Canis lupus familiaris: one gene and its partners. The protein of the gene in region 2 interacts with the protein of the main gene of each other region in a pairwise test. Links are inferred from orthologs where the notes say so. Each region holds a gene or a part of one and is shown on either strand. Other genes may lie near its edges. The genes, in order: PHYKPL, LNX2, PTCD3, MAP2K5, PEG10, LRRC8E and TUBB.

Region 1 (4,626 bases), on a different chromosome or scaffold from region 2:
CAGAATAACTACAAGCCATACTGAGGCTTCATTCAGCAGGATGCCCGACTGATCGCACACGCTTTGTTTGGATATCGAGTGAACACAATTATGTACCAAATTTAACTTGGCATACTTTCTATGGCCTGTCCCATGTGCATCTTATTTAAATCTCCCCCCTGGAAATCAATCTCCTGTTGACTATTTCCAGAGCTCTAGTTTGTAGGCAGCGTGTGGGGTCTCTGAGGCCAGAGCGGCATTATGGGCTGATTTTATTCTCGGGTTCCCAGAGCCAGATTGGAGGGTCTGCTTCCTGCTGCCCCGCTGCAGCCTGGACCTGTGGACCCTGGTTGTAAAGAGTAAACTGTATCCTAGAAAACCAGTGTCACCTTTTTTTCACCTTTTAATTTTATATTATTTGTGTCATACATTTCCTGTTAATGGAAGTGTTAATTTTACTGTACTTTTTGGTACCTTTTGGGAATCTAATGTATTGTAAGGTATTTTACACGTGTCCTGATTTTGCCACGACCTGGATATTGAAGCTATCCAAGCTTTTGAAATAAAAATTTAAAAACCCCCAAAGCCTGGGTGAGTGTGGGGTATCCTGTGAAGAGCGGGGAAGGGCTAGGTGCTCCCGAGCCTTCAAAGCTTTAGTACCCTCCATGACCAGACAGCAGTCCTGTCAGGCAGAGCTGCACTCTCAGAACTGCTGGTTAGCTTCTTTTGAGGATTTGGTCCTACTCAGGACTCACCCTTTTAGAGAAAGTTAAACTCCAGGACCACAGGCCTCTTCAAGAGTAGTGTGGTTGGGGCCAATGAAGGAGGGTGTTCCCCCCCAGGGCAGTGGGGAACATTCTGGGACACCTGCAAAGTTCTGTCTGTACTTGTTGGTAGAAATGGGTATTTGGTCTCCCAGCAAGGACTGAACCTATAGATGGAGGCCATGTCCTAGGAGCCAGCTGCATTTGGACAGCGTCCTTTCCTGGAGCACAGCCTAGCCCCCTTTGGCAGGGCCTAGCTGCTGACTGGATGGGAGCACCCATGGGGCTGGTGGTTGAGGCCTCAGGAGACCTGGTGGCAAGAGGCAGCAGTGGATGAAGCCTGGCAGAGAATGTTTCCCATCACCTCAGAGGAAAGAACTGGCTCAAGGCAGGTGCTATTCCTGCCCTCTGCTGTCCACTATAAAATGCATCATGGAGATTTTTCTGGGGGGTGGCTGGAGATAACCTGGTTAAGAGCAAGGTTTGGCTTGCTTGAGGGAAGGAGCCCCTGCTGTTAATGGTGCGGTCCCCAGTTGTGTGGGTTATGAGGAATAAGATCCACTCACCCAGGGGAGGACAGGATGCCTCAGGGCCGGAGCCTCAGCGTCTCACAACTTCTCATCTTTTCTTCCATGTCTGAAAAACAGCATAAAGTCACCCAAAAAGGGTTAGCAATTCTCCAGTGTCCTTTCATCAGCTGGGTGCAACTCTCATCCCAGCAGCTCAGTGCCTGAGGGAGACCCCAGCCTTCAAGTGAGGCACAAAGGTCCTGCCATCTCTGTCTACATGGCTTCACTCATGACAGTGGGGTCTTTCACCCGAGCTCTGGTTCCCTTGCCCTGCATCCACAGTACCACTCAGGACGGCTAGTGCCTTCCTGCATGCCTGCCTGCTCGGTGCTCAGGAAGTCTGTGAGGTGAGTGCAGGCCTGGGCCCCAGGGCCCCCCCCCCCCCCCCCCCCCACCAGCTCCCTGTTCCTGCACCGCCTGGAAGACTCCTGGCTAGCACCCTGGAACGTCCTATATCCTGGCTGCAGGCAGGCTCTACGGACATAGTCAGCTGCTCCTTGCTCCCCACCCCCTCACCTGTCAGGATGGCATCCATTTTTGCCACCACGTGCTGTGCGTTGTCCACACTGAAGCACATTGGAGGTTTAAACTTGAGGACGTTCCTCCCAGGACCATCAGTGCTCAGCAAAATGTAGTAGTCTTTCAGTCTGAGGAAAGGAAGTGGTGAGGCCCTGCTGCCCACCAGCCAGGGAGCCTTTCCAGGCCCCAGCTCTAGCTACTCTGGCCTGGGGGCCCCATGGCAGACCAGGTACTACCCTCCACCACTGGCTCACCCCCATTCCCACCTGCTGGTCCTTTGGGGTGCCCTGTACCTGGCCCTCAGCATGCTGCTCCATCCCTGGAGCCCCAGCCTGAGCCAGGACCAGCCCTAGCCTACAGCGTGGACAGTAAGCATTCCTGCACATCAGCAGCACTTCTAAGCTGGTATGCTGAACCCCACGTCCCCCTCACTAGCTTCAGTTAACTTCCTTGGCCAACCCTGTTTCTGCTTCTTGTCCAGAAGTAATCTTTGAAATCCCAAAGGACTCTCCAGTTTTAATTTCCGGTTCTTTTTAGGAACGAGGACTTAACCCTCAACATAACTGGTACCTGAAAATGTTAACATTCCACATTGATGCTTTAACCTAGGGAGGTTATTGGGCCAGAGAAAAGAGGTCTGACGTGATTCTATTTACATTCTGACACCACTTCCAATCTCTTATTCCTTTTTTTGTTTAAGCTTGTCAGGCTGGCTCCTTTCTCCCATACCATTCTTCCTGGCATGGACTGTGGTCCTAGAAAGAACAATATCTGGACCTTAATCCAGCCCTGCCACCAGCAAGCAGGGCAGCCGCAGGTGCCACACCTGCCCCTGGTCTAGTCTCACTGATGGCACTAAACTCAGGGTGGGTATGAGGTGGGAGTCAGGCTGGGCCTCATGACTGGCTCCCTCCTTCCCTCTGATCCCATTGATTCCAGTCCTGAGGCTCCCTGGGGGGAGGCAGTAGGTGTACCTGCCCGCAGAGGCAGGGCTCGGCCGAATACAGGAGGGGTCTTGTGTCAAAAATCCCAAGAACATTTTTACATTGTTTCTGTTCACATGATCTCAAAACAGAATGATGTGTTTTGCAATTGGAATAAGGACACAATCAGACACCAGGAGGAGGGTTTCCCCAGGTTCAGCTCCTGCCTTGGATCCAGGGAACACGCAGGCTGGGGCTGGGGATTTTGGAGTCTGGAGGTCCCAGTCATCTAGAAGCCTTCCACCTAGATGAGCAGGAGGCCTGTCCATCCCAAAAACCCGCTGCTCTGGGATCGGGGACCCCCCAGTCTGGCTCTGCCACAGCCCCTGGTGTGACTGGAAAAGCTGCTTCCCCTTGGGCACCTGGGGAACGTGAAAATATGGCTTTTGGGTCTGAGAGCCCCTGTGGCTTTGGCATCCTTGGCCGAGAATAGCCTGCACCCATCAGAAGCCTTTGGCGCAGGGCACAGGCCACGGAGCTGACCGGGCTGCTCTTCCTGTCTGGAGCTGAGTGATGCACAGATGGGTGCCCCCTTCCTGCTCAGGCCGATGTCAGCTCCTTCAGGCAAGCCCTCTGTGAGCCCTGAGTGCCCAAGAACACGGTGACAAGAGCAGAAGCAGGAAGGAGGTTCTTTCCCAGTCAGGGTCCTAGATGCTGTGAAGGTCACCAAGAATACCTGGACACCACATAGTTTGCCTCTTCAGTTGCTGGCGTCCTGGTTGCCTCGTCTTTGATCAGATCCACACCAATAAAGAGCCCAGTGCCCCTAGAGCAGAAAGGTGACATCTTAGAGGAGACTAGGCCTGGTGGGGGTGGACCCTGGTCCTTGCTCTCCTCCTCTGCCTGGGCCTGTGGGAAGCACCAGGGCTTGTTCTCTGCTTCCTGGGCAGGCTGAGAGCCATAGAACCCTCAGATGGTGGTGACCTAGTCCCAGGGAGTAACTGCAAGGGGAAGGGCCCCAGGTGTGACCGAGGAAAGGTTGGGGGTCAGAGCCAAGTCTGACCCTGGTTTTCCCTTCCCTAGAAGTGTCATCTTGGGCCAGAGCGCACCTCAGTGCTTTAGTTCCTCCTCTGAAGATGCAAGTCCCCACCAACCCAGGTGCTTAGGAGGTCACAGGAGAAACCGCACTTGGCTGCTGGCAGGTGCTTAATCAGTGGGTAATAACTGCTGCCCCAGTCTCACCTGACGTCCCCGATGATCGGATGTTTGGCTTTCTGCTCCTCGAGGAGCTCCATCAAGTAGCTGCCCACAGAGGCGGCATGAGCCTGCAGCTGCTCCTTCTCCAGAACATCTAGGACGGCCAGGCCTACAGCACAGGATACAGGGCTGCCCCCAAACTGAGCCAGGGGACAAAGCGCATGTCAGATGCCTGGAAAAGCAGGCCACGCTCCAGGGAGCATAAAGGCAGCAGAACTGCCACACGCATTCTGAGGGCAGCGACAAGCACAGGCCTGCACCCCTCAGAACTCAGTAATTTGGGGGTAGACAGGGTTCTCCTGAAGCCCCTGTGGGCTGTCCTCTTATTTTTTTTCCGGTGCTAATGTGACTGTAACTCAGGTAAGGTACCCCCAGGGGTACAAGAGGAGCCCCAAGAGACCAAATCAGAAGAGGTGTGCTGTGCATTTTTGTTGAGAGGCTTTAGGAAGCCCCATCTCACAGGTTGGGCCTAGACCCAAAGCATCAGACTAGCCTCCATCACCTTAAAAAGGGGGTCAAGAGCAACATGCCAGAGCCGCACCCAGGAAAAGCCACTCTGTGTAATTTGACTCAAGGCTTTATAGTTTTAGCTCAGGGCATATTTTAGGGCACAGA
Region 2 (4,626 bases):
GGAAATACCAAGGACATAACCAAGGCAAAACAGTAGAACTGCCTGGGTTCTTATCTTCCCAAGATTTCTTAAAGGGTAACTAACTTTCTTTACATACTCTCCCATGCAAGACTGGCCTCAGCATTGAGAGGAAGAGAGCAAAGGAAAGAAGGTAAAAGGAAGAACTGATTCAAAATTGGATTAGAATCCTTTGTGACTTCTGAAATAAATTCCAGGGTGACTATTTTGAGAGTGATAATCAATGAAACTACATACAGCTTTGTTTCTGCTTGTTATAAGTTTGGGTCAAAGTACGGTATCAGCTTACATAGTCCTGAGAAGAATAATAACAAAGATCCTATAAAACAAGATTAGTATTTATATCCATTGTACACTGCATGTGTATATTATGTCACACGTGCGCAAACATAAATGTTAGGTAAATTTTTTTTTAAAGATTTTACTTATTATTCATTAAAGAAACACAGAGAGAGGCAGAGACATAGGCAGAGGGAAAAGCAGACTCCCTATGGGGAGCCCAATGCAGGATTTGATCCCCAGACCCAGGATCACACCCTGAGCTGAAGGCAGACACTCAAACACTGAGCCACCCAGGTGTCCCATTAGGTTAAGTTTTTTAGAGGTTCCAACTCTCACCTTGAATTTAGAGGTCCATTATCTTTATTTATAGATCTAGATTTTGAACAGAGATTCACATCTATTATATGTTTTAAAGCTGTTTTATCTTTGCCTTTAATGTACAGGCCTGATCTATTTGATGCTGATTCTTGGTTGTGACCACAAGTTCCCAAGTTTACTATCATTCCTACGGGAAAATCTGACAGCCTACCTTTTTTTTTTTTTTTTTTAAAGATTTTATTTATTTATTCATGAGACACACAGAGAGAGGTAGCAACATAGGCAGTGCTGATTCTTGGTTGTGACCACAAGTTCCCAAGTTTACTATCATTCCTACGGGAAAATCTGACAGCCTACCTTTTTTTTTTTTTTTTTTTTTAAAGATTTTATTTATTTATTCATGAGACACACAGAGAGAGGTAGCGACATAGGCAGAGGGAGAAGCAGGCTCCCACCGGGGAGCCCGATTTGGAACTTGATCCCTGGACTCCGGGATCACACCCTGAGCCAAAGGCAGACGCTCAACCACCGAGCCACCATGCATTCCCTGATAGCCTGCTTTTAAGAAGCTGTAGTGGAAAGTAGGACCCTCCCCCATAATTAGTCAATAATGTTAAGAATTCACTTCACCTTCAGTTCTCAGGTTGGGAAATGAGTGATAACCAAGTTGAGCCCTATTAAAAATCACCTGCTTATTCAAGCATTGCATTAAACTAGTTGCAGACAATTCTTCAAAATAAATGAAGAGTGACACTTCCCAGGTGGCCAGAGTCTGGGACTTGATCTAAAGGGTAACTGTCAAAGTAGAATGTGTAGAATTCTGATATTTGAGATTCTGACACTTCAGATTATTAGATCACACAGTGATGGGTGAGAAGCCCCTTTGTAATTTCATGTCAGTATATGGAATGGTTTGCTTTACTGCATAATACCCACCACCACCACCACTACGAAATACCCTATACAGTCATTCAGCTTTACTGAAAGACCTGTGTTTATGCAAACCCATTAACAGAAACAAATCCCTGATCATTCCTGACATTTTGAAAGGACAAAATTCTTGGTGTGTGATGGAAGTGGGCATGTGGGTTTAAACGATGGACCAACATTTGGGTTTAGGCTAATTTTAAATAGACGGCACATCTAACATTTCAGGGTTTCAAACACAACAAAAGAATTCTGTTAAAAGTCAAGATTTTTAAAAATGCAGGATGCCAAAATGACAATACCTATTTCATTAAAAAGTGGCATGCACTACTGTTGGGAGTATATATTGGTTTATATACTATATGTGTGTGTGTGTGTGTGTGTGTGTGTGTGTGTGTATATATATATACTTTCTAGAGGAAGTTTAGCAAAATGTCTTAAACTGGAAAACAGAACATTCAAGTCTGTTAACAAGGGAATGATTAAATAAGTTTTAGTACAACATGCCTACTACACAGCTATGTCATGATGAGTCTATTTTCAGGGTAAGAAGTCCACAACATACTGCTGACATGAAGAAACGGCTGCAAACTCAGAATTTGCAAGATGAGTGTACATGTAAGTATCTATGTAAATATGTACCTATTTATCTGCAGGCATGTACAGAAAAACGTTTATAATGATGTTCTCCAAAACATCTTAGGGGTTTAGACTGAATGTGACTTTAGCTTCCTTTTTTATTTTCTGTGTTTTGTCTCCTTTTATTGACAGAGTACATTATTTTTATAATCCAAAACAGTAAGATTTAATTTTTTTCACAAAAAAACAACTTGAACAATATATTATATTTGGTATTATATATATTAGAAGGTATCCATATCCATTTTTTTTAAACCTCAAGTCTGTGATGCAGGATCAATGCCTGAACCTCCTTCCTAATACAATACGGCTACCTGGTGTGTGCATGTGTTCTTATGGTTGTAATGAGCCAAAAATTTGTGAAAAGTAATTTGTGAAAAGTGAAAAATTTAAATGGGATTGAAACTTGGGTTTTCTTACATAGTAGTTTAAAACTTGTTATTTGATTCTGTCTGCCATACATATTTCTCAGTGACTATTAACCTACTTTTTAATCCCTAATGCTTGATTATGTTAATGTTTGGTTTCCTTGTGCTTACCTAAAAAAAAAAAAAAAAAAAAAAAAAGAAAGAAAGAAAGAAAAAAAAGAAAAAGCCACACATCTTTGTTTCACCCTTATCAATGTAGGAAATACCCTCATCATTAAATGCTGTGGCGGGTTAGAGAACCAGAAGTTCTGCTCTGGATGATTTTCTACTTTATTTTAATGCTTTTACTGAAAAAGTGTTTTTTTTTCTCTAATTATAAATTTACTTACTTTACAGGGATACTGTACGAATACGAGTTATGATGTGTTTGAAATGCTTTGGACTGCTTTAAAACAAAGGCACTATGGAGATTAAGAGCTATTCTTAATAAAAAATTATTTTCTCCACTTGTATGGAGCTGAAGCAGAGAGGGGGAATTACAAGAGCCAGTAAGTCACAACCTTGGAATGGCAGCTCCTTCCAGCTACGCCTTTCTCACCGTTCAATGTGGACGCCCCCGTTTTTATGTCTGGGACTAGGTGGAGCCCAGGGAGCAAATGAGAAACCTATGTGAGAATACAGGGCCTTCACTCTATAAAGAGCAAGGCTAAACACTCACAGGGATACAGTTTTCCAGAAAGGATCCTATCTGTAATGAAGTTATACTACTGTGCATTTTGAAGGATTTGAGGAGCCATGTTTGATTTCCCTATGAAATAGCAAATATCCCCTAGATTCTCATGTTATGAAAACAAACATCAACTGTAATAAAGGCTGAGCATTGGAAACGAACACCTGGTGCGTACCTGAATGATCTGGGCGGCAAGCTCTGGGGTCCCATGCTTCAGGTCATGCCCATTGATGGCAAGTACTCGGTCATTGCTGCTGAGCCTTCCATCCTGTGCAGCCAGTCCGCCTTCCAATAAGTCAAGAATAAAAACACCTGGCTCATCGGTCCTTCGTACAAGTTTAATGCCGAGCTGTTCACCAGAGTCCCGCTTGTGAAGGACCACGTGGAAGATGTCTTCCCGTGGAGAGCTACTGTCAGAGTGGCTGTTTGTCCGGTTCCCAAAGCGCCTCTCTCGCAGCACAGTGAGGTGCAGTGTGCTGCAGGGCTGGGAGAGAACGGCTCTGGCATAGTTGTGGGATACATTGCTGATGTTACAGTTGTTGACCTGGAAGAAAAGAATTAGGATCAAAGGGTGATAATCTTCTATCTTTTCAACTTGTAGAAATGCTTATTTACCATTTCTAAAAGAAACTAACTTTGTGAAAAGGATTTACAGTCATTATTTACAGAGAAAGTTTACAAATTACAATTGCAACTACAAAGATGTCTTAAAATACACAGCTTCTAAGCTTCACTCACAATGACTAGCATTAAGTAGAGAACAGCAGTTAGGATCACAAGCTTCAGTGACAGTTGAATCAGAGCCCTTGGTTCTGCCTTGTGCTATCAGCAGTGAGATGGGTTCACTCTCTGCTTCATGGGACCAGGAAGAGAATGCAGACAACAGCAGTATATGGCAAGTACCAATGAAATACTAGTTCTAGTAGAACAGAAACTGAACTACTGGATTGAAGTGGCTTTTGCCAATGAAATACACTTAAGCTAGAAAAGATACACTGAGTTTTATTTTAAGGAAAGGGACACATTCCAGGTATACAACCTGATCTCAGATCAGTGATTTTTACTTACAATTACAGTTTCACTCTAATTGTTTAGCACTAAATGTAATAGCTTATCTAACACAATATGCGTAACTCAGTGCACTCAGAACATTTCTCTATTAAACTTTATGATCCTGAAATGAGTATAGTGACTGAGCAATCCTTGGACACTAACATCACTAAGAAAATATGCCCAGCTTCAATTATTCACCTAGCTAGAGGAAGGGGTTGGCACAATTCTTCATATTTATCACAATTAGAATTCCTTTCTTCATCTGTGTGAAATAGCAGCCAGTGGGGAACC
Region 3 (4,360 bases), on a different chromosome or scaffold from region 2:
GCATGTATAGGTGAGATGGGAAGGAGCACAGAGAAGAGAAGCCTCCAGGAAGCCAGGTTCTCCCTGGAAGTTGTAAACCAAAATCAAAGGCTAACCTTTCTTTTATTTATTAAAAGATCTTTATTTAATCATGAGAGATCCACAGAGAGAGAGGGAGAGGCAGAGACACAGGCAGAGGGAGAAGCAGGCTCCATTCAGGGAGCCCAACTCAGGACTCGATCCCGGGTCCCCAGGGTCTGGCCCTGGGCTGAAGGCAGCTCTAAACCGCTGAGCCACAGGGCTGCCCAAAGCTAACCTTTCTTAATGGTCCTTTTGTTCACTTTGATATGTCAAGGAATAATGCACATGAATGCTTAAGTAGTTATTTGCTGTCATTTCCCTGCCCCCTTTGTCCTTGAATTAAATGTCTTAAACACAATCTAGGACACAACATGAACCAATACTTAGATTTCTGAAGATGCACGAATGGATCTAGGCCTAGATAGAATGGATGGAAAATGTAAACGGAACAGACAACAGTACAAAATTGCTCATAAATGCCAACCCTGGCAGGGTAAGGTTGAAGCTGTTCATCTGTGGGGAACTCATGGGGTCTCTCAGTTAATCTGGGACCAGGTATGAGCAAAAGCAGCTTGTGGAAGCCCTGGTGAAGGGTTAAGAATGGTCCTAATAAACCATGCAGGTTCCTGTTAACTTCCAATACTGTTTCAAAGTTCTGGTGGTAAGAGAAATACCAGACTAGAGATTCTTGATTAGCAGTCCTCACTTTAGACCACTTTCAGTAGAGCACAACTAAAGGTGATGGCAAAAAAGGGGGAAGCAAGGGAGATGAAGCACTTGTAGAAATCCCAGGGCTCAGGGGAAACAGGCTATGTCAAAGTAAGAGAAGTGCGCTAAAAAAAAAAAAAAAAAAATTGCGCTCAATGCACATTACCTAGTGTTTATTTACAGCCCTCATTTTCCCATACATGTAGCTTAAAACTCCGCATCCTAGAAATGATTAAACAATGGCAAATTTCTCACCTCTAAATATCCCTAAAATTGGTATACTGATCTAGTATCAATGGAGATACATGTGCAAACCTCCTTTAGACACGTCCTTTTCTAAGGTTGCAAATCAGCCAATGAAGGCCAAGTCCATGATGGGAGGGCAAACCACAAAGGGCAACAGTGAAGTTGGCCAACAAACACTGTAGGTACAAAGCTTATGCTGAAACCAGGAGCTGTGTCCAAAGAAATGAAAATGGTAGGTCGGCTTCTGTTTAAATGGGTGGCTTAGTAAGTATCAAATTCGGAATTTAAGTAGTCCCTCTGGTATCTATTGTTCTTAAAAGTTGAAGTCTGAATTCTCTTGTTCTCTTCACAATATGGTTGAACAGAGATGTCAATTCTCAAGTGTAATTACAATAGCTATGCTAGGCCATAGCTGCTCCTGATTCACCCACTTTTATATGCCTTCACTGATGTCACTGTCACTGTCGCTGTCGCTGTCACTGGTCAGTGACGTTAGGTTTCCCAGGGCTTCCCTGTAAGGAAAATAAACGAGGGTTACACTGCATTTCAGTCTTGTGGGAGGGGACTCTGCAGCTGCACTGAACTATAATGAAAGGGGAAAAGGTTTCAAGAGCCAAAACTATAGGCCTCTCTGATGTATGTGACAAATGAAATAACTAACTAAATTAATGCATCCTGATTTTTCGCAAAGAAAAAAATTCAGGAGGCAAAAAGCTATAAACATTGAATGGGTAGACAAATGGTCTGCTCCATTTTTATCACTTTATGTTATCCATTCAGGACTTACTTTTGTTCCTGGCTGATTGCAAAGTCAGCCATCACTCTCTGGGTGAGGCCTTCACAAATAGGCAAGCTGAAGGCACCTGCCAGCTTCACTACCTCAATGGCCTGGGCAGGACTGTTGGATGCTTTTGCAGAATCCATAAACTCATTCAGCAACTTATTTCTGTAAAAGAAAGACAAAAAGTCAACATTCCCCAACAACCCCTGAATCCCTTCAAAGATTTACTTATTTATTTTTAAAAGATTTTATTTATTTATTCCTGAGAGACAGAGGGGGTGGGGGGCAGAGACACAGGCAGAGGGAGAAGCAGGCTTCATGCAGAGAGCCCAATGAAGGACTCGATCCCGCGTCTCTAGGATCAGGCCCTGGGCTGAAGGCGGCGCTAAACCACTGAGCAACCTGGGCTGCCCAGAAGACTAACTTTAATGGGCCAAAGAAATATAAGGAACACTGGTTCAGTATGCCTTCACTAAGGATCTGTTGAATGTATCCCCAGTGTGCTGCAATCACCAAGCAGATTAAACACAGTGCTTCCTTAATCTAGGATACCCTAGATGGTGGAAGCAACTGTCCATTTGCCTAGCAGAAGAATGCTCAATCACTGTGACTAAAGTATGTAAAAAAAAAAAAAAAATCCCAATCACCCCATGGTAAGAGTTAAAACCATGCACCTATTTCCTGGATATACCGAGGCAGACCTGTTAACTTCAACTTACCCAGGGATCTTATTGTGCTTCCTGAAAAGCCCCAACATTTTCCTGTTCAAGACGAGATACAAGAAAGATAATAAACAGAAGGTGAGCAGATAGTAGCGGTTCAGTTCCCTCTTTCCTAACTTCATGTAGGTACATTTCAAATTTCCCAAGCAAATCTGTTGAGGATTATTGGGGGTGGTGGGGGGGGTGGTGTATCCTCTTCTAGAGGATCACTTCAGTCCTCCCAGGAAAAAAGACGACACCCTGTGGGTAGCTGGAAGAGAGGGATGCAACTGAGTGGGATCTCTTTCCTCTCTCACAATCCCAGAATGAGATCAGTATCCTAGAATTACGTTGTGAAGAGCAGGCTCAGATTGAGGCAAGTCTCCTGTAAGTGCTCCCCAGCATCCTGCCACATGCAAGACAAAGGAGAAACACATACATTCAGCTCCCATGACTCAGCTGAGGTCCGTACCCCTGCGCCAATCATCACAGCCTGATTCATAACAAGTGTGTGTCAACAGGAGTTTAAAAATTTGAGCATCAAAGGTTTTTGTCACCAGCAGTGCAGCAGGCTATATGTGTGATTCACACTCCTAAGACAAGTTTAGGCGGCAATGCCTTCATTCACCAGCTTTTTCCTCAAGATAGTGAACAGCCACATTTTGGGCTGACAATCCTCCGTTCAAATCAACACTTTGTGTTGAAAATGCCATATACAAGTACCCCACTTACTGTTAGAACACATATTTCTACCCAGAACAAAATACAGCCATACCACTCTTATCAGGACTACTCCTACAAAGTATTCTTTTGTTAACTTCTCTGCTTTTGGAAAAAGGAATGCATGTAAGGGCTCCATTCACAAACACATTCTTAAGAATTAGTATGTGAATGGGGTGCTGATGAAAACACCTAACACAGCTATACAGTGAAACAAAGATGGTTTTAGTCAAGGCCATGTTTGTAAATGCCAATTTCCACAAGTCCCAAGGGCACAGCCTGCATTTTAAGCATTGAGTGAAATACATGGATAAGTCAAATGCCCAAAACATATTAAAAAATAACTTTCTTTGAACATTCCAGTTAAGTGAACAGGTAAGTGACTATTTGGCCATGAATATATAAAACAGGTCAGAAAGAGAATTAGCTCACTAGATGGCGTCATCTCTTAAATACAATGTATATACCATACTGGTCTTCCAAAAGTTTCCTTTTCAGTTGTCACTTGCAGTTCCCATAGAAAACTCATTATACAGTCAAATTAGAAAACTTGTGACCAGGCAAAATGTTCTCTGAGATTCAAGTACAAATGCTTCTAATTTACACTTGTGGTTTTGTACTCACCAGGCTTCCTGGGTTCTCCCAGCCCTTAAAAAGAGGACAGCTATACAGTTCAGAGAGTTGGCTGGCCAATCAGGAGCAGTCTGTCTGGCATCCTGGCTCTCGTAAGTGGATTTGATATCTGCGGCACAGTCTGCAAACGCCACCTGAAGCTGAGAGGCTCTGAGAGTCAGCAGAACTGCCTGGTTGGTTTTATGAGAATCAGGTTCAGGAGACTCCAAAGAAGCACTGACATCTTAGAGCAATGCAGTTTGCCACTCACATGTGGAGTGACGAGTAATCAAGGAAGAATGCGCCCTGGCCTGGGGTAAGTGATTTGCAAACTGGCCACATCTTTCAAATACAAGATGGATTTTCCTTTTAGATAGGATTTTTTTCAAAAAGCTATTACTGTCAAGCCAGAAAGAAACTTGCTTTTGGACCTGAGGAATGAAAGGGACTTTAGAAACGGGATTCTGCTACTTGCTACATATGTTTAGATACAGAATTTAAATCTGGGTTTAGGTGGCAGAATTCAGTTTCC
Region 4 (5,385 bases), on a different chromosome or scaffold from region 2:
CAGATTCTAGATTGTTCTAGGGGCTTTATGTATATCAACTCCAGTAGTCCTCATACTCTATCAGGTGGGCACTATTTTAATTCCTGACTCCTTTTTTTTTTTTTTTTTTTTCCAGATAACGAACTGAGACCTAGAATACACTTGCCCCAAAGTGAGTATGGTAAGCTTTGCAATTCAAACCAGGTAGTCTAGCCCAGAGCTTGTATTTTTAAACACTGCACCATTCTACATTAAATAGTACCTTCTGTTATTTCAAATGAGCAAAGTCAAAGAAAGCTTACATCTTTCCATCACAGGCATGATCCCACTTAAACTTTGCAAGCCTTGAAGACGGGTATTGTCCCAATTTTACAAGTAAGGAAACTGAGGCTAAAAGAGACAGAGTGACTTGCTTACTTAGTGAGACTGCTTGCAATTAAACCCATGTTTCTAGATTCAAAACCTAGCAGACTGTCCACAAAACCTTAACTGCATGCATCTTCCTTGAAGCTCCTTTTGAAATGCTTGAACAAATATTTCAAGATGCTTTGGAGCTCCAGAAACAGGAGACAGAAACGTCCATCTCCTCCAGAAGTTTACCATTTAGTGGAGAAGATAGACAAAACTGTGACAAAACCTGCTAGCTTTGCTGGAACGGAGCTATGGGAACACAGAGGAGAGGCATATTAAGACTAAGATAGAGGAGGGACACACGGGTGGCTCAATGGTTGAGCATCTACCTTCGGCTCTGGCAGTGAATCCAGGGTCCTGGGCTGGGATCAAGTCCCACAGTGGGCTCCCTGTAAAGAGTTTGCTTCTCTCTCTGCTTCTCTCTGTGTGTCTCTCATAAATAAATAAATAAAATTAAAAAAAAAAAAAAAGACTAAGGTAGAGGAAAAGTGAAGCTGGGCTCTGAACGACAGGTAGGAATTGGCCAGCTGAAGAAAGGGGTCAGACAGCCTGGGACAAAGGTTAGCTCTATGAACCTGGAGCACATAATGTTCTCAGGGATGTGGTGAGAGACTGAGCTGGTGCCAGGCAGGCACAAGCCAATCCAGATAGACCTAGAGGACCATGTTAAAAAAAGTTTGGGCCTTGTCAAGAGAAGAAATCTATATGCATGTGAGAGTGTGGATGGACTCCAGATGCCAAGAGAAGGGCAATATTTGGTGTTGGCTTACTAGAAGCTACTGGCTCACTCCAGCTTCTGGACTCCTGGCCCAGACACCTGAAAATCTGTGATGTTCTGGGCCAGTAATATCCAGAATTCAAAATGTAGGTATTGGAATCAAATTTTGATTGAGTCACATACAGCAACCAAAAAAAAAAAAAAAAAAATCACACCCCAGATCCTCCTCCCCACAAGAATCTCTGCTCCACCCCCATTTTATCTTGTAGGTAAGTTCCACCATAGATTTGGTACCTGCAACATGTTTCTGGGCATGTCAGTTCTCCTCTCCATACCTCAATTATTCAATACTTAAAACGGGCACAGTGCACTCCGGCTATCTCAAATGTGTGCTGAAAGATGAGAAATGACAGTGCAGCATGTGGGGAAAAATCACTAAGTAAGCAAATCTGAGTTCTGGTACGGACTCTTGCACTCACGAGCAACACAGCTTTGGAAAAGCCATTCCGTCTTCACTACTCCTCAGTAACTATCTCAAAAAAGGTTCAGAGGTCTCAACAGGCCGCTCACTGCCAAGGTTACACTCCGCTCTCACATTCCATGACTTTATTTGAACTAAGTTCTCGGTACCCTGAAAGTAATGACACAGCTTTGATTCTGAGATGCACCCTCCCCCCCCCCCCCCAGGGTTAGCATCATCTGAAATTGCGCTCCTTTTGCATTCTGTGCAGCAGGTGACAGTTTAACAGGCAGTATTTTTTTCTCAGTAGTACATAAAAGAGTGTCTTAGAACCAATGACACCTTAGGTTTGCTGAAGCATGGTTCAAGCAGCCTAGATTCCCTTCCCCAGTGGTCACCAACCAAGTTCGGGGAACTCAGTAGAAAGGCATGGCTGGAATCTGGCCAAGGACATTCCGAGAAACACTTGGGGGGGCGGGGGACAGGGGACGGGGGGGGGGGGGGGGGGGTACTTCTAGACTCAGCTCTTTGCAGCCGGTTGGTTGCAAATGTGTGTGTATGTGTGTATGTCCCAGTGCAGGCTGTGAGCTCCTTGAGGGCAGGAGTTCAATCTGATTCATCTCTCCGTCCCCAAGGCCCTCCCTGCACAATTGCCAGATTTCAGTCCATGCAATTAATCAATGTGTGTCGCTGAAGCAATAAAGCCGCCCCCACAGGAAGCCAGCAAAGGCCACTGCCACTCGCTCGGTGGTGGTGGGGGGGGGGGGGGGTGCAGCAGGCTCAGATTCGGCGGTCCAAGTGCTGACTACCCCACAAATCCCTGCGCCCTCCTCAATGGGATTTGGATCCTGCGGTTGCCACTCACCAGCACGTCCCTGAAGAGTAACTGCGGCCCGGAGTGCACTGTCCAGTCCACCGCGCCACTATTTGGAATCTTGATACGAATCACCAGCACCTGGTTCTCCATGGCATGGAAGGGGCCAAGGGCGAGCCACAGCATTACAGGTGCCGGGGGCTCACATCCTGGGGTGGGCGGTACCCACTGGATCGTGGTCAAGCGGGGGCTCCAAGAGGCGACCAGGGGACGGAGGGGTGCGGGGGGGGGGAGGACAGAGGGTCGGGGAGTCGGGGGAGTGCAAAGAGGAGGGGTGGTCTGGGGGAGCCCGCGGGCACCGAGCCGGACCCAGGCTGCAGGGGGTCGGGGCTGCCTCCCTGTGAGCGTGCACCGCGCAGGAGGCAGGGGCCGGTAGGAACTAGCGGAGTTGGAAAACAGCGCGAAACGGGCTGGTGAAGCTCCCTGGCGTCTGTGTGGACGTGCGGAGATGACCCCGCTTTCGGGAGGGAGGCAGAGCGGCAGGTGTCCGCTCCTCCTTGGCGCAGAGGGAAGGGAAGGGAAGGGAAGGGAAGGGTCCCCGACTGGAAGGAGCCCCGGGGGCCCCCAGACCAGGCGGAAGCCGACCAGGGCCTTCCGCCCGAGCGCCGCGGAGCGAATCGGGCTCCCCCCCTCGGCCCCCCTCCGAGTCACAGGGCGCGGCGCGCACCGGATCAGCCCTGGCCGCCCCAGGCCGAACGTTCCGGCGGCAACGGCGGCGGGAGGAGGAGGAAGGCACGGGGAGGGCACTGTTACTCCGGAACCAAAACGCACGGCACCGGAACCCCCGGGAGCGGGCGAGACGCACCCGCCTCCCGCGGCGCCATGTTGGAAAAGGGCAGCTCCCGGCCAGCCCCGCCCCCGCGCCCGCGCCCGCGCCCGGGTGGGCGGGACCTGAGCGGAGCTCGCGAAGTGCGGGGGCGGGGCTTCCGCGGGGGGCGGGGCTTCGGGGCGGGGCTGCGCTGTCCAGGTCCCGGGACCGCAGGTGATGCGCGGAGGATGGTCCCTCCCGTGAGTGACCCTGGTTAAAGCCCCGCCAGCTGAACCATATAACGAGCGGAGGAGGAAACCGAACTGGGGCTGCAGTCCGCCCAAAGCCAGTTGATGGCTTAAAATTGCGTGCTTAAAATTGTTTGCGGAAGCCTTACCTTTATCCCAACTTTGCTAAGCCCTTTACCTTGAGGGGGTTTGTGCATCAAATCCGCAACAGCCAGGCAGGAACTCAAAAAGTACTTGGCTTTTAGACGAGAAGGTCATCGTCTTCCTCTCACATTAGCAAACAGTGCATGGATTGAATTTTTTTTTTTTTCTTTTTTCGGTTTGTTTTGCCCCGCTGTTGTCCTGAAATAGAAAACAGCCTCCGTTCAAAAGCAACAGGAAACAGGTTCAAAAGCCACCTGGTGGCTCAGTGGTTGAGCATCTGCCTTCTGGGCGTCATCCTGGGGTCCTGGGATGGAGTCCCCCATTGGGTTCCCCGCAGGGAGCCTGCTTCTCCCTCCGCCTATGTCTCTCGTGAATAAATAGATTAAGATGAAAGAAAAAAGAAAGAAAGAGAAAAAGAAAGAAAGAAAGAAAGAAAGAAAGAAGAGAAAAGAGAGAGAAAGAAAGAAAAAGAAAGAAAAGAGAGAGAAAGAGAAAGAAAGAAAGAAGAAAGAAAAGAAAGAAAAAGAAAAGAAAGAAAAGAAAAAAGAAAGAAGAAAGAAAAGAGCAATAGTAAAAAAAAAAAATCAGGGAAGAGTGTAAGTGCCAAGGGACAGCTGCAGTAGTGGCCTCATGTTCTCTCTCTTATTAAATCCTTGCAGAAAGTATCCAGTCTAGTCCCCAAATTTTCAGATAGATCCTAGATAGGATTGTTGACTTATTGGGTGATATCTTGGGAAGTAGGAATAACCCTTGGTTGTTTTTAAATGCCTTCTTAACCTCAGATTTTAAAGTGCATAACTTGTGTTCATCTGTAGTGCCTAAATAAAAGTTTGTTTACAAATTTCAACCTGTGGGTTTGTCCATAATACCCTGCTAATGTGCACCTGTTGCTTTACTTTCAGGTAGTGAACTTTGTATAAATTTGGTGGGAGAGGAGGGACAATTTCTGCCCTAACATTCAGATAGTTTACACAAGAAAAAAAAAAAGAATTTAAATGTTGATTAGTTTCAGTAGAATACCAAAAAATTTTGTGCATATTTTTCCCTGTCTGAGATTCTTTTAATACTTAATTTGAAAGTCCGAGTATGAGATAAATTATCTCTTTGTAGATGTAAAACCCCCCACACGACCTGCCTATTGTTTCTTGGGCACACCAGTAGTTATTGTAAGTTAATAGCTTAGGTAGAAATTTACTTAATCAGATGCTCCAGATATTCTGAAATTGCCTTTTTCCACTGGCACTTCAGTCAAGTGAAAAATAAACAGTGTGCCTAAGGTCCCCATGTACTTTTCACTGAAAGTTCATTTCCTATTGTTTGAAAAAATAGACCACAAAACTAGAGATTTTCTATGAACCTATCATTTGTTAAAATGGCTTTTTAATTCATTGTACTATGGGGAAAACCAACTCAATTTGTACTTTCAATTCTTCTGGATAGGTATATACCCAGAAGTGGAATTGCTAGATCATATAGTCATTCTATTCTATTTTTAATATTTTGAGGAACCACCATTCTGTTTTCTGCAATGACTGCACCATTTTACATTCCCAATAGCAATGCATGAGTGTTCTGATTTCTCCACATCTTCACCAACACTTGTTATCTTCTGTATTTTTTATATTAGCCATCCTGTTGGATGTTATGCAGTATCTTACTGTGCTTTTAATTTGCATCTTCTTAGTGATTAGTGAAGTTGATAAATCTTTTCATATGCCTTATATATCTTCTTTGGGGAACTGTCTATTCATCTGCCCCTTTTTTTTCCAAAAAGATTGATTGATTGATTGATTGATTGATTGA
Region 5 (4,626 bases), on a different chromosome or scaffold from region 2:
ATCAGGGCGGACAGCGACTTGGCGACCTCGAGGCGCGACAGCTCGGCCTGGATGTGGTCGCTGAGGCCCTCGTGGTACTGGTCGATCAGCGCGGGCTCGTTCCAATCCAGGTCCTGGGCGATCATCTGGAAGGCGTTGGAGTAGTCGATGACCGACCCCATGCCTTGGCGCAGACGTCGGATCTTGCGCTTGGCAGCCTCCCGCCTCTGCGGGTCTTCAAAGACGTGCTTCATTTCGGTCATGAAGGCGGGGTAGTTGTGCATCAGGTAGTGGGATCGCTCCAGCTTGGCGGAGGCCCAGCGGGCGGCACGGCCCGTCATCATGCTGGTCACGAAGCAGACGCGGACGCGGTCGACGGAGAAATCTCTGGTGCTCTTTTCCATGAAGAGCTGGCACTGGGCCATGAACGGGACCAGCATGTCGGGGTTGCCGTCAAACTTCTCAGGAAGGTCGTCCGGGCACTCCTCCTCTAGCGGAGTGGGTGGGGCAGCGGCGGCTGCAGCACCTCGGAGCTCCAGGTCGTCCTCCTCGTCCTGAGGGGCGGGCTCCACTTGCTCGCGCAGGGAGGTGTTCTCCTCTGTGAGCTTCTGCACCTGGTTCTGCAGGTTGTTGTTCTCCTCGGACTGCTTCATGACCTTCTCTCGGAGGTTGTTGATCTCTTCAGAGAGATCGTCTCGCCTTCGTTCGGCCAGGTTGGGGATGTACTGGCCCCTTGGGGCGCTGCGTGAGGATGAAGAAGAGGAAGAGGAGGAGGAGCAGGAGGAAGAGGAGGAGGAGGGGCCGTTGGGGGGAGGAGGAGGAGGAGGAGGTGGGCAGTCGGGCCCCAGGGTGAGGGTTGGCGTGGGAGGAGACCTCCCAGGTGTAGCTTCGCTCCTGTGGGGATGGAGGCCCTGATCCTGGCCTCCTCTTCCACCCTTTCTTCGTTTTGTTTTCAAAAGCTTTTTGTTTCTGTAAAGGAAGATAAAAGCAGAAGTTTATCATCCACGTTCAAAGCAGCACACTACAAAAAAGATTTTAGCATCTAAAGTAGCCACTAAAGTACCTTAAATACGTGAGTATTTAAAGTAGCCATTAAAATACTTTAAATACATGAGTATTTAAAGTATCCACTAAAATACTTTAAATACATGAGTATTTAAAGTATCTCTTTGCTCTACTTGCTTACATTAATATTTAATAAACAAACACAGATCTTGCAAAAGGGAGAAACAAGTTAATAATCAATTAAGACAATAGGTAGTAACAAAAAGCACCCTACTTTTTAACGTCCAAATGACCTTTTTCCTCATCAAATGTCACCTATTATGATTCAACAACAATGCATACCGGTATCAACAGCAAGTTTACCTTCACTGACCGTAAAAGAATGCGGAGACATTCCAAAATACCAGTTTGGATCAGGAGGGCACAGCAAGAAACTTTCAAGTCAAAGATGGAGACCAAATTAAAAACACAAAGCCAAAATGATAATTGTTATTAGACGGGTTACCTGAAAAAGAGCTAATAATCCAGCCAATAGGGAACCAAAAAGAAGGGTGGGGGATTTAAATCACACTGCCTGTATTCATCAGCCGGGGGAGGGAAGAGGGCACTACCTCCATGGTGAAGGTCACTAACTGATTATCAAAACAAACAACAACAACAACAACAACGGTCACGAAACCCACAAGATTGTCTAAATCCAACATAATCTGATTTCCCAGAGAGAATTCCCTTCGGGACAGAAGTGGCACCGAGCAGCAACGTTGTGTATCAGCCTCTCTCCTTATTATGCAGTTCATCAACAAATGTTAATTGATGCCTCCTAGGAAGAGCTAGGCTATTAAATGGGACAGTCAAAAAAGCCCAAAAAGAGAATACCTCAAATTTACAGTATGGATTTAATTAGGTAATGCAGGTAAAGCAGTGAATACTTAACAACTGTTAGCTGATATTAATAAGAAAGGTAACTTTCTGTGTAAAGAGGCTAAGATTAAAACAGGGAGGGCCTGCAACTATGGCAACCTAGGCAGGCATTTCCCACCTAAAGACATTACTTTTTTTGGGGGGGGGGGGAGGGGGGAATACGCTGTTGGCCAAACAAATCCAGGGCCTCATTTGATTTGCAGGTCACCAGTTTCCAACTTCTGGTTTTTAAACAAGATTTGTCAGCACAGTCCCACCCAAAAGTTTATAATTTAGAGCAGGATAGGGCTGTACTCCTAGGTGGTGAGTAGCAACATGGGGGGCATTGGGGGTTTGGGGGATTAAGGTCTTAATTATGGGTATGGTGACAATAAATCACACATACAATAAATCCAGCAGTGTTTATGTACTTCCTAAAATGAGGGTTAAATGCATTTATAGTAACTTAATTTTAACTTTTTATAATTTTTAAATGAGCATTAAGTTCTCATATTTGGAAAACTTTAGGAAAGCGCTCAAAAGTTTAAAACCATAATTTGTAAAAGCAGGCAGACTGCCCATTCACTAAATTTTAACTTGGCATTCCTGGTCACCTGTTCTTCTCTGACCCATCAAGGCAATAATGGACACTAAATTAATTATATTAATTAAAGCCCACAAAGATAAATGTGTTATTCAAAGAAGTTATGTGAAAAATAGCTAATATTTCAATCAATAGGGTACAAGAAAAAAAAATGAGGCCCTGGATTAGTCACAAAATAGTGTGATTTTGATTTATTAAATTAAAATCTTTATTTTTTTAAATTAAAAGCTTTAATGTCCCATTAAAAAACAATAAACACAAGTCAGGTGACTCAAGTGCCACTTCTGTATCTAGACATTAATACTTAGAAAACTTAGAAAACTTCTGGAAAGGCCTTCATAGCTCGGCCTGGCGTTGCCTGACCCAGGTCAGGAAGGTTAACAACCCACATGTCAATCACAGTCATTGGGGGGAGCTTTACTGAGGTTCCAGTCTCATGGTTTTAATATCTGCAAAACATAATAATAGGACAGATATAACAACACATTCAGAAATCAGCAAACAATCATTGTATATTGTTTAAGGAATCAAAAGATCAATAAGGGCTTAAAATGCAAATGATTTTAGTAGACAGGAAGGTAACATAAAAGTGAGAAGAAACTGGAGTTAAGACAATAAGGAGTGGGCTGGTGACTATGTAATTTAGGGATGCATGTCCCCTCCCCAGAAACATTCAATTCTTTAAAATATTTTTAATCCAGTGCTGGTCAAATAAATTAAGGGCCTTATTTGACTTGCAAGGTCACCAGTGTGAGACCCCTGACCTTTACCAAGATCAGGCATCAGGTACCCACCCCTGGGATTTTTAATTTTGGTGTGGGATTCTAAATCCTAAAGGAGATAACTGCCCAGAGAAGAGTAGTGTAACCTTTAAAAAACATAGGATAGTCGGCAGGCAGGTTAACATTCAATGTAAATAAAGCTTAAAGATATTTAAATAGCAACTAGAGCACCAGTTAATTTGGGAACAGGAGCACTGTGACTTGATTTGCACCTCCCACCCCTTACTAGGGGCTGGATTGTGGAGGTCAGGCCCAAAGGCCCCATTCCTAAAACCTGAAATGACACACAGTACTGAGCCAAGTCACATGGGATAGATGTCACCTTTACACATGAAAAAGAATCCAGTGTTAGTCTATATAGGAATTAAATACATTTGATTGACCTTTGACTCTTCTTGAAGACTTCTAAAAACTTGTTCCCCAAACACACCAAAAAGTAACAGTAGCCAAAAAACACTGCACATTAAACATCTCATTAGAAAATGACACTTCATTAAGCAACTCTTAATTGCTTTATATTTTCAAATGTCCCAATTTCTTTTTTAGTACCATGTATACTATTTGTGAAATGCAAATTATATTAATATGCATATTTTTACCATTGTTTTGAACTTTAAAAAAAACATAGAATTTCGAAAGGAAGTGGGGGTAGGGTGACGGGGGGGGGGGGGGGGGGGGGGGGCTGGGGATTAACTGAAAGCTGTAATTACCACAAGTATAAATACATAAAGATATGTAAATTGCATATTTATTAGGGGGTGGGTGACAGATATTTGGGAGTCAGAGTCCTGGCTTATGGCTTACAATATATGAAACCAGGTTTTAAAATTTCTTCATTTTATTAGAAACATAAACATGGTACATCTGACTGGAGGTAAGGCATCAGATGTTTTATGTGTATGTTTTATAATGCCAGCTAAAACCCTCCAATCTATTTTTTAATGTAACCACTTTATGTTACATTATACAAAATGTAAATATGACAATTATGTACCATTGTGAAGTAGTCCACTCACCCTGAATTTAAATAGCCAATTAGCTTGTTTTTACTTTTAAAAAGCTATTTTGAATATCTTAAATATGTATAGTTTTGTATTATAATTACAGCTTACATTATTAGAGTTTAAATTTTTTTTTTTTTTTTTTTAAAGGATCCAGTTAAGTGAGAGATAAGGCAAGCAATGCCTTAGACAATCCTGGACAGCAAAGCACCAGGGGGAAAAAAACCAGAAAACACCTGCAGACACCAAAGAAGGCACTGAATCAGCCAATTCACACTGGTCATTTAACATATATTTAATGAATGCCTACCATGTGCCAGGCACAATAAATATGTAGGCAAGTTAGCCAGGGCTA
Region 6 (3,669 bases), on a different chromosome or scaffold from region 2:
ACCGGCATGGGTGACATACCCGACGTCAAGAATGACTTTGCTTTCATGCTACATCTCATCGACCAGTATGACTCCCTCTACTCCAAGCGCTTCGCCGTCTTCCTCTCCGAAGTCAGCGAGAGCCGCCTGAAGCAGCTCAACCTGAACCACGAGTGGACGCCTGAGAAGCTGCGGCAGAAGCTGCAGCGCAACGCCCGGGGCCGGCTCGAGCTGGCCCTCTGCATGCTCCCGGGGCTGCCGGACACCGTCTTCGAGCTCAGCGAGGTGGAAGCCCTCCGGCTGGAGGCCATCTGTGATATCACCTTCCCCCCCGGCCTCTCGCAGCTGGTGCACCTGCAGGAGCTCAGCCTGCTCCACTCGCCTGCCAGGCTGCCCTTCTCGCTGCAGATCTTCCTGCGGGACCGCCTGAAGGTCATCTGCGTCAAGTGCGAGGAGCTCCGCGACGTGCCCCTGTGGGTGTTTGGGCTGCGTGGCCTGGAGGAGCTGCACCTCGAGGGGCTCTTCCCCCCGGAGCTGGCTCGGGCAGCGGCCCTAGAGAGCCTCCGGGAGCTGAAGCAGCTCAAGGCGCTGTCTCTGCGGAGCAATGCCAGCAAGGTGCCGGCCAGCGTGACTGACGTGGCCGGGCACCTGCAGCGGCTTAGTCTGCACAACGACGGGGCCCGCCTGCTGGCCCTGAACAGCCTTAAGAAGCTGGCGGCACTGCGGGAGCTGGAGCTGGTGGCCTGCGGGCTGGAGCGCATCCCCCATGCCATCTTCAGCCTGGGCGCGCTGCAGGAACTTGACCTCAGGGACAACCACCTGCGGTCCATTGAAGAGATCCTCAGCTTCCAGCACTGTCGCAAGCTGGTCACGCTCAAGCTGTGGCACAACCAGATCGCTTACGTCCCTGAGCACGTGCGCAAGCTCCGGGGCCTGGAGCAGCTCTACCTCAGCCACAACAAGCTGGAGACCCTGCCCACCCAGCTCGGCATGTGCTCCGGCCTCCGCCTGCTGGACATCTCCCACAATGGGCTACGCTCCCTGCCGCCCGAGCTGGGCCTCCTCCAGAACCTGCAGCACCTGGCTCTGTCCTACAATGCCCTGGAGGCCCTGCCTGATGAGCTCTTCTTCTGCCGGAAGCTGCGGACGTTGCTTCTGGGCTACAACCACCTGAGCCAGCTCTCGTCCCAGGTGGGGGCCCTCAGAGCCCTCAGCCGCCTGGAGCTCAAGGGCAACCGCTTGGAGGCACTACCAGAAGAGCTTGGCAACTGTGTGGGGCTCAAGAAAGTGGGGATCCTCGTAGAAGACACCCTTTACGAGGGCCTGCCGGCAGAGGTGCGGGAGAAACTGGAGGAGGAATGAAGCAAAGGTGGGGAAGGCTGGGTAGAGGCCTTCTGGATGCTTCCACTGCAGAATCTCTACTACTGTCTTCAAGAGAGGTGGCCAAGAGGGCCCAGGCCAGGAGAGAAGGAGCAGACGCATCAGCCACCATGGGTTCCAGGCAAGATCCTGGGACTGGTTTGTCTGAGAAGAGATGAGAGGCTGTGGATTTGGGGTGGAACGTCGTAGAGGGATTAACTCAGTCATAGGATTCTCAGACCCAAACCACACCTGCGTCTTTGGCTGGCTGTCCTGCCCACACCCTGGACATTCTGGCCTAGTTAGTGCCATATATGGGGTTGGGGCACATCCCAATGGGATTTCAGCCCTTTCCCCCACCCCTCAAAACACCTTATAGCTGGTGTTCTCTCCCAAGGAGGGGACACAGACACAAGGGACTAATGAGTGACCCTTGCCCCCAACTTTGATGCCAAATCCTTATTTATAAGTTGTTTGCTATGGACACGCAAAATCAGAAAAATGGTTCTCGTGTTTGGCTATGCATCAAAATCAACATCCCCAAAACAAAACATCCTGGGCCCCACCCCTGAAAGACTGACTCAGGTCTGGCTGGAGGCCAGGAACCTGCCTGCAAATACACATCCCAGGTAATTCTGATGCAGGTGGTCCTAGACCTGTGTGTTGGGAATTGCGGACCTACAGAATCTGCAAGTCCAGAGCAGGGATTCTGAACCCTTTCTAAGTCCTACACCTTTTGAACATCTGAGAAAAGCTGGGTGTTTCCTTTCCCAGGAAAATGCTCAGGTACACATACATGCAAAGTTCCGCAAGCAACTTTAGGCAGTCAGCAAATTCCCCCAGATTTCCCAGAGGGCCATTCACGGACATCCTAAGGATGGCAGACTCCAGTGTTAAGAATGCCTGCCGAGGAGGTTAAATTTTTCTGAGCAGAGGCAGGGATTTTGTCTTTCCAGTGTTTCCTGTGTGAGAGAGCATCTACCAGTGGGTGCTTAATAAATAATCTGAATTATGAGAACTAAACTTCCGATCTCTGGTATCCACTCCTGTTTGTCTAAGCCTTCCATTTCGCCAGACCAATAACAGGCAAGCAATGACACTCACATGGCGGAATCAAGGGTATGAGTTTCTGTCCTGGAAGCAGAGGCAGGAGAGACCTCGGCTTATCAGGCATCATCTGCGTAGCTATTTTTTGGAGAACTCTCTTTCTTCTCCATTCCTTATTATTCTCCGGACTCCACACTCTCGCATCTGTTCCACCCGCAAATTGTCACCACGGGAGTCCCCACAAGCCTTCCGCGCCCGCCAGTGTTCCCGTGCTGGACCAGGAGCAGGAAGGGCATAGGGCACAGCCTGCCTGACCTGGACCTCCCGGGCCTGGACACCTCAAGGAGTCTGAAAAAATGCGAGCCTCTTCCTCGCAACTGAGAGCAGACGCAAGCTGCTTTCCGAAATCCAGGATCCCAGATGGGGGCATTTTCCCGGGCGCCCACAGACCAGTTGAGCCGCGAGGAGACCAGGCTGAGGCGCCCTAACATCCAGGCCCATCTTCCGCACTGTCCAGGAGCTGGGCTCACATTCCGGGGTTGGGAAGATGAAAGTCCTAAAATACCCCATTTGAGGGGGCTGACCTGGAACTCTTCTGGCCCTGCCCCTCACCCTGTCCGGAGATCAGGGGTCATGCCCCTGGTCCTGGGGCCCCTCCAGTGACCGAGCCCTACCCTGCCCCTCCCGCCAGCCCTTGGCCAACCCCGAGTTTGCTGAAATAGAAAGGGCTCCCCACGGGCGCCTAATTATGGTGAAGAGACAGCAATTAAGCCTAACAGGGATCCTAATGAAGCACTGTCCCAGACGAGAAAGGCAGTGCTGGGAGAGCGTGGGTGCCAGAAAACAGGCCGGGAGGGGAAGAGCGAGAACGAAGCTGGGGAGGACACGCTGCAAGAGCTACTCCCAGCAACAGGGGCAGAGAAGCGAGCCAAGGTTGCGCAGGCGCAGTAAAGGCCGCGCGCGGGATCGCGTCCGCGCCTCTGCACGCAGGCGCGCCGCTCTCCCCGCCCGCCGCTCTCGGCCCAACAGTGTGAATGGATTGCCACACGCAGTCCGCGCATGCGCACCACCAGGAGAGGCGTTGCTCGTTGCCAGACGCGAGCTCTAGGTGGCGTCATCCCTCCAGCTGGGAAGAGGCACGCATGCGCGGACGTTAGCACGAGGGATGGGCGAGTGCGCGCCGCGGGCATGCGCCGTGCGGGGAGAGACGGCGGCTCGGCGGGGTCATCCAGGCGCAAGCGCAGTGCGGTGTTTGTCTGCCGGACTGACGGGCGGCCGGGCGGT
Region 7 (3,187 bases), on a different chromosome or scaffold from region 2:
TGAGTTGCTGTTACAAAGTACTGATACTGATTAATAATTAACTTAATAAAGCAGAACTGATTCAAAGTTAATACTGGAACGTAGCATCTTCCCTTCATTCAACACTTTTTAGAATGGGAGAAAAGCAAGTTAACACGTAGTTAACGTCATACAATTTTCTTTGGCAAAAGTTGGTAATACGCAAAAAAGCATGCTAAAATGGAAGAAATTGGGAGAACTGCACTAGTTCCCTTTATTAATTGGAAGGAAAATTACATGGACTTAAATTTCCAGGGTAGCTGACTTATTTTGTGCCTTAGAAAAGTATATTTATTTGGTGAAACAGTACTTTAGAATAGGACCATGGAGTAGCATCCCTCACTAGTTATCTTTATCTTTCCCTGGAGTTAAATGAGAAAATTGCCAAGGTGTAAGAGAAAAAAGCAAGACCCATAACTCAAATGAATCCTGGATGTGCTGTGCACTGAAAGTAGTGCAATAATAGCGTTCAACTCTGCATTCACAAGATTCTCCTGGAGTACTGCTAAACAGATTACTAGTCAGCTGGTTTCTGGTTCAGTACATCTGGGTAGGCCTGGTGATCTGCATTTCTACACAAGTTCCCAAGAGGCTATTCATCTGGGAGCCACTTACGCACTATTCAACATTCATCTCAGTTCCCATTTCTGTCAATCCTGTAGGAGTCTATGCCTATCCTAGTTATTGAGACTGGTAGTGAGGATGGTGAAATAGTTCTACCAGGATAAGGTTAAGTACAAGGATATTCTCATCAGTTTATTAAGAGCAGAGTATAAGCGTAGCTGAACTTGAGCCTCAGGTTGTCCAATGGCAATCTTTCCCTAAATGAGCACACATCTCGCAACTTTTTTTCAGTTTTTTTATTTTTGGCTTTTGGGGCAATGGTATCTTTTCAATATGAAAAAAAGCAAGTTCAACACAAAGTAGAAATTTGAAATGTAGGACAGGACAAAAATCAAGGGTGTGTGGGGAAAGGGAATAGCAGAAGGAAGAGCTGAGGTGTTGCCAAAAGGTGGAGGGTCTCCTTGTCCCCTCTGGAAGAATGACTCAAATGATTTAGGTGGCAATACACACTTTTCTATATGTACACAGTAGAGCTGGAGTTTTGTTAAGAAAAAGTGGGGAGTGGGAGGGGGCCTTTCCAGACTTTAGGGATCAAGGCCAGTCCCTCTTTCCCCTGGGAAAAGGAAGAAATCGAACACGTGAAGCAGTTTATGTAGGAGGGAAGGATCCCACTCAACAAAGTGGCACAGACCCCTCAAAAGAAACAGCTCAGGACAGAGCTTGGAAGAAGACTAAAAATAGACAATACTGTCAACATCTCCCCTGAAGCTGAGAGCAGGAAGATTCCTGGATTTGGACTTCAAGAGCCTGGATTTCCCTCTCTAAAACTGCTCTAGAATAGAAAACCCTACCTTCTCGATATGTACCTCTACTGCTATGAGGTAGCTTGGTTTCCTTTCCCCTGGGCTACCACATGGGCTTAGGATGGTGGCGATGTTTTCAGCACATGTTCTAAATGGGATCTAATGAGACCCAGCTTCTCAGTGAATCACCTTAAAAAACAAAGGGAAATATCAACTGCACAAACGGGAAAATGGACACCAAAAGAAAATACAGGGTGACCCAGAACAGCAGAAATCTAGGTTTCCCAGAGTGGAAGAGAGGAGACATTCAACAAACAACAAGTATTTATTGAGCGCCTATTACGTGCCAGGCACTGTTCTAGGACCCCCCCCCCCAAAAAAAAGGGAAAAAAAAATAAGAGGCAGAGAATGCAAATTCTGAGGGAGAGGATAGGGGCAGCTGAGGAAGAGGGAATGGAGAAGCCTAAGGTGATGGTACTCTGCCTTAAGCCTCCTCTTCAGCCTCCTCACCGAAATCCTCTTCTTCTTCTGCGGTGGCATCCTGGTACTGCTGATACTCAGAGACAAGGTCGTTCATGTTGCTCTCAGCTTCGGTGAACTCCATCTCGTCCATGCCTTCACCTGTGTACCAGTGGAGGAAGGCTTTGCGCCGGAACATGGCTGTGAACTGCTCTGAGATGCGCTTGAAAAGCTCCTGGATGGCTGTGCTATTTCCAATGAAGGTGACTGCCATCTTGAGGCCACGGGGCGGGATATCGCAGACAGCGGTCTTGACATTGTTGGGGATCCATTCCACAAAGTAGCTACTATTCTTGTTTTGCACGTTGAGCATCTGCTCATCTACCTCCTTCATGGACATCCGCCCACGGAAGACAGCAGCCACAGTGAGGTAACGGCCATGGCGGGGGTCACAGGCAGCCATCATGTTCTTGGCATCAAAGACCTGCTGGGTGAGTTCAGGTACAGTGAGGGCCCGATACTGCTGGCTTCCACGGCTGGTTAGAGGTGCAAAGCCAGGCATGAAGAAATGGAGACGTGGGAAGGGCACCATGTTGACTGCCAGCTTGCGGAGGTCAGCATTGAGCTGACCAGGGAAGCGGAGGCAGGTGGTGACACCACTCATGGTGGCTGAGACAAGGTGGTTGAGGTCCCCATAGGTTGGCGTGGTCAGCTTGAGGGTGCGGAAGCAGATGTCGTACAGGGCCTCATTGTCAATGCAATAGGTCTCATCCGTGTTCTCTACCAACTGATGGACAGAGAGAGTGGCATTGTAGGGCTCAACCACCGTGTCAGACACTTTGGGGGAGGGCACCACACTGAAGGTGTTCATGATGCGGTCAGGGTACTCTTCTCGGATCTTGCTGATGAGCAGCGTGCCCATGCCAGAGCCTGTGCCCCCACCCAGTGAGTGGGTCAGCTGGAAGCCCTGCAGGCAGTCACAGCTCTCAGCTTCCTTCCGCACCACATCCAGGACTGAGTCCACTAGCTCAGCCCCCTCTGTGTAGTGGCCCTTGGCCCAGTTGTTGCCAGCCCCAGACTGCCCTGGAATGAGGTGAACAAAATTCTCTTTATTAGCAAAGCATCAAAGATAAAGGACCATTTCCACTCTTCAGCTTTTAAAATAACATACACGAATGTGCCTTTTTTCTTACTCACCTGTGATACATCCCTGCCTCAGTATCTACCATCTAAGGCGGTCATTCCCAACACCCTGCGTTAGAGATCTCAAAACATATCCCCAGATAAACGCTCCAGCATTAAAAATAACTTCTTAGCTCTTGCAGTCTCCTTCCTTCAAATAC

The links.
Region 1: the proteins of LNX2 (region 2) and PHYKPL interact in binary tests that used the Homo sapiens proteins (3 or more experiments, as listed by UniProt). The link is inferred for Canis lupus familiaris from reciprocal best matches to the Homo sapiens genes LNX2 and PHYKPL.
Region 3: the proteins of LNX2 (region 2) and PTCD3 interact in binary tests that used the Homo sapiens proteins (3 or more experiments, as listed by UniProt). The link is inferred for Canis lupus familiaris from reciprocal best matches to the Homo sapiens genes LNX2 and PTCD3.
Region 4: the proteins of LNX2 (region 2) and MAP2K5 interact in binary tests that used the Homo sapiens proteins (3 or more experiments, as listed by UniProt). The link is inferred for Canis lupus familiaris from reciprocal best matches to the Homo sapiens genes LNX2 and MAP2K5.
Region 5: the proteins of LNX2 (region 2) and PEG10 interact in binary tests that used the Homo sapiens proteins (3 or more experiments, as listed by UniProt). The link is inferred for Canis lupus familiaris from reciprocal best matches to the Homo sapiens genes LNX2 and PEG10.
Region 6: the proteins of LNX2 (region 2) and LRRC8E interact in a two-hybrid assay, tested with the Homo sapiens proteins (3 studies listed by BioGRID and IntAct). The link is inferred for Canis lupus familiaris from reciprocal best matches to the Homo sapiens genes LNX2 and LRRC8E.
Region 7: the proteins of LNX2 (region 2) and TUBB interact in a two-hybrid assay, tested with the Homo sapiens proteins (3 studies listed by BioGRID and IntAct). The link is inferred for Canis lupus familiaris from reciprocal best matches to the Homo sapiens genes LNX2 and TUBB.

The regions. Positions count from the first base shown.
Region 1 is NC_049232.1:3,617,593-3,622,218, reverse strand, and holds part of PHYKPL (5-phosphohydroxy-L-lysine phospho-lyase), read right to left. Parts: intron 4,152-4,626; coding exon 3,997-4,151; intron 3,581-3,996; coding exon 3,491-3,580; intron 1,960-3,490; coding exon 1,829-1,959; intron 1,380-1,828; coding exon 1,330-1,379; 3' UTR 1,310-1,329; intron 565-1,309; exon of another isoform or gene 25-564; coding exon of another isoform or gene 1-24. Other genes in the region: HNRNPAB (heterogeneous nuclear ribonucleoprotein A/B), read left to right, coding at 1-24.
Region 2 is NC_049246.1:12,118,875-12,123,500, reverse strand, and holds part of LNX2 (ligand of Numb protein X 2), read right to left. Parts: intron 3,827-4,626; coding exon 3,458-3,826; exon of another isoform or gene 2,949-3,457; intron 2,164-2,948; exon of another isoform or gene 2,090-2,163; intron 1,682-2,089; exon of another isoform or gene 1,530-1,681; intron 1-1,529.
Region 3 is NC_049238.1:39,293,250-39,297,609, forward strand, and holds the end of PTCD3 (pentatricopeptide repeat domain-containing protein 3, mitochondrial), read right to left. Parts: intron 3,990-4,360; coding exon 3,841-3,989; intron 2,993-3,840; exon of another isoform or gene 2,858-2,992; intron 2,557-2,857; coding exon 2,515-2,556; intron 1,961-2,514; coding exon 1,802-1,960; intron 1,527-1,801; coding exon 1,448-1,526; 3' UTR 925-1,447; downstream 1-924. UniProt on the Homo sapiens protein: Mitochondrial RNA-binding protein that has a role in mitochondrial translation.
Region 4 is NC_049251.1:32,094,290-32,099,674, reverse strand, and holds the start of MAP2K5 (dual specificity mitogen-activated protein kinase kinase 5), read right to left. Parts: upstream 3,259-5,385; 5' UTR 2,569-3,258; coding exon 2,434-2,568; intron 1-2,433. UniProt on the Homo sapiens protein: Acts as a scaffold for the formation of a ternary MAP3K2/MAP3K3-MAP3K5-MAPK7 signaling complex.
Region 5 is NC_049235.1:20,083,766-20,088,391, reverse strand, and holds part of PEG10 (retrotransposon-derived protein PEG10), read right to left. Parts: intron 949-4,626; 5' UTR 828-948; coding exon 1-827.
Region 6 is NC_049241.1:52,998,308-53,001,976, forward strand, and holds the end of LRRC8E (volume-regulated anion channel subunit LRRC8E), read left to right. Parts: coding exon 1-1,341; 3' UTR 1,342-2,361; downstream 2,362-3,669. UniProt on the Homo sapiens protein: Non-essential component of the volume-regulated anion channel (VRAC, also named VSOAC channel), an anion channel required to maintain a constant cell volume in response to extracellular or intracellular osmotic changes.
Region 7 is NC_049233.1:653,324-656,510, reverse strand, and holds the end of TUBB (tubulin beta chain), read right to left. Parts: intron 2,928-3,187; coding exon 1,870-2,927; 3' UTR 864-1,869; downstream 1-863. UniProt on the Homo sapiens protein: Tubulin is the major constituent of microtubules, a cylinder consisting of laterally associated linear protofilaments composed of alpha- and beta-tubulin heterodimers.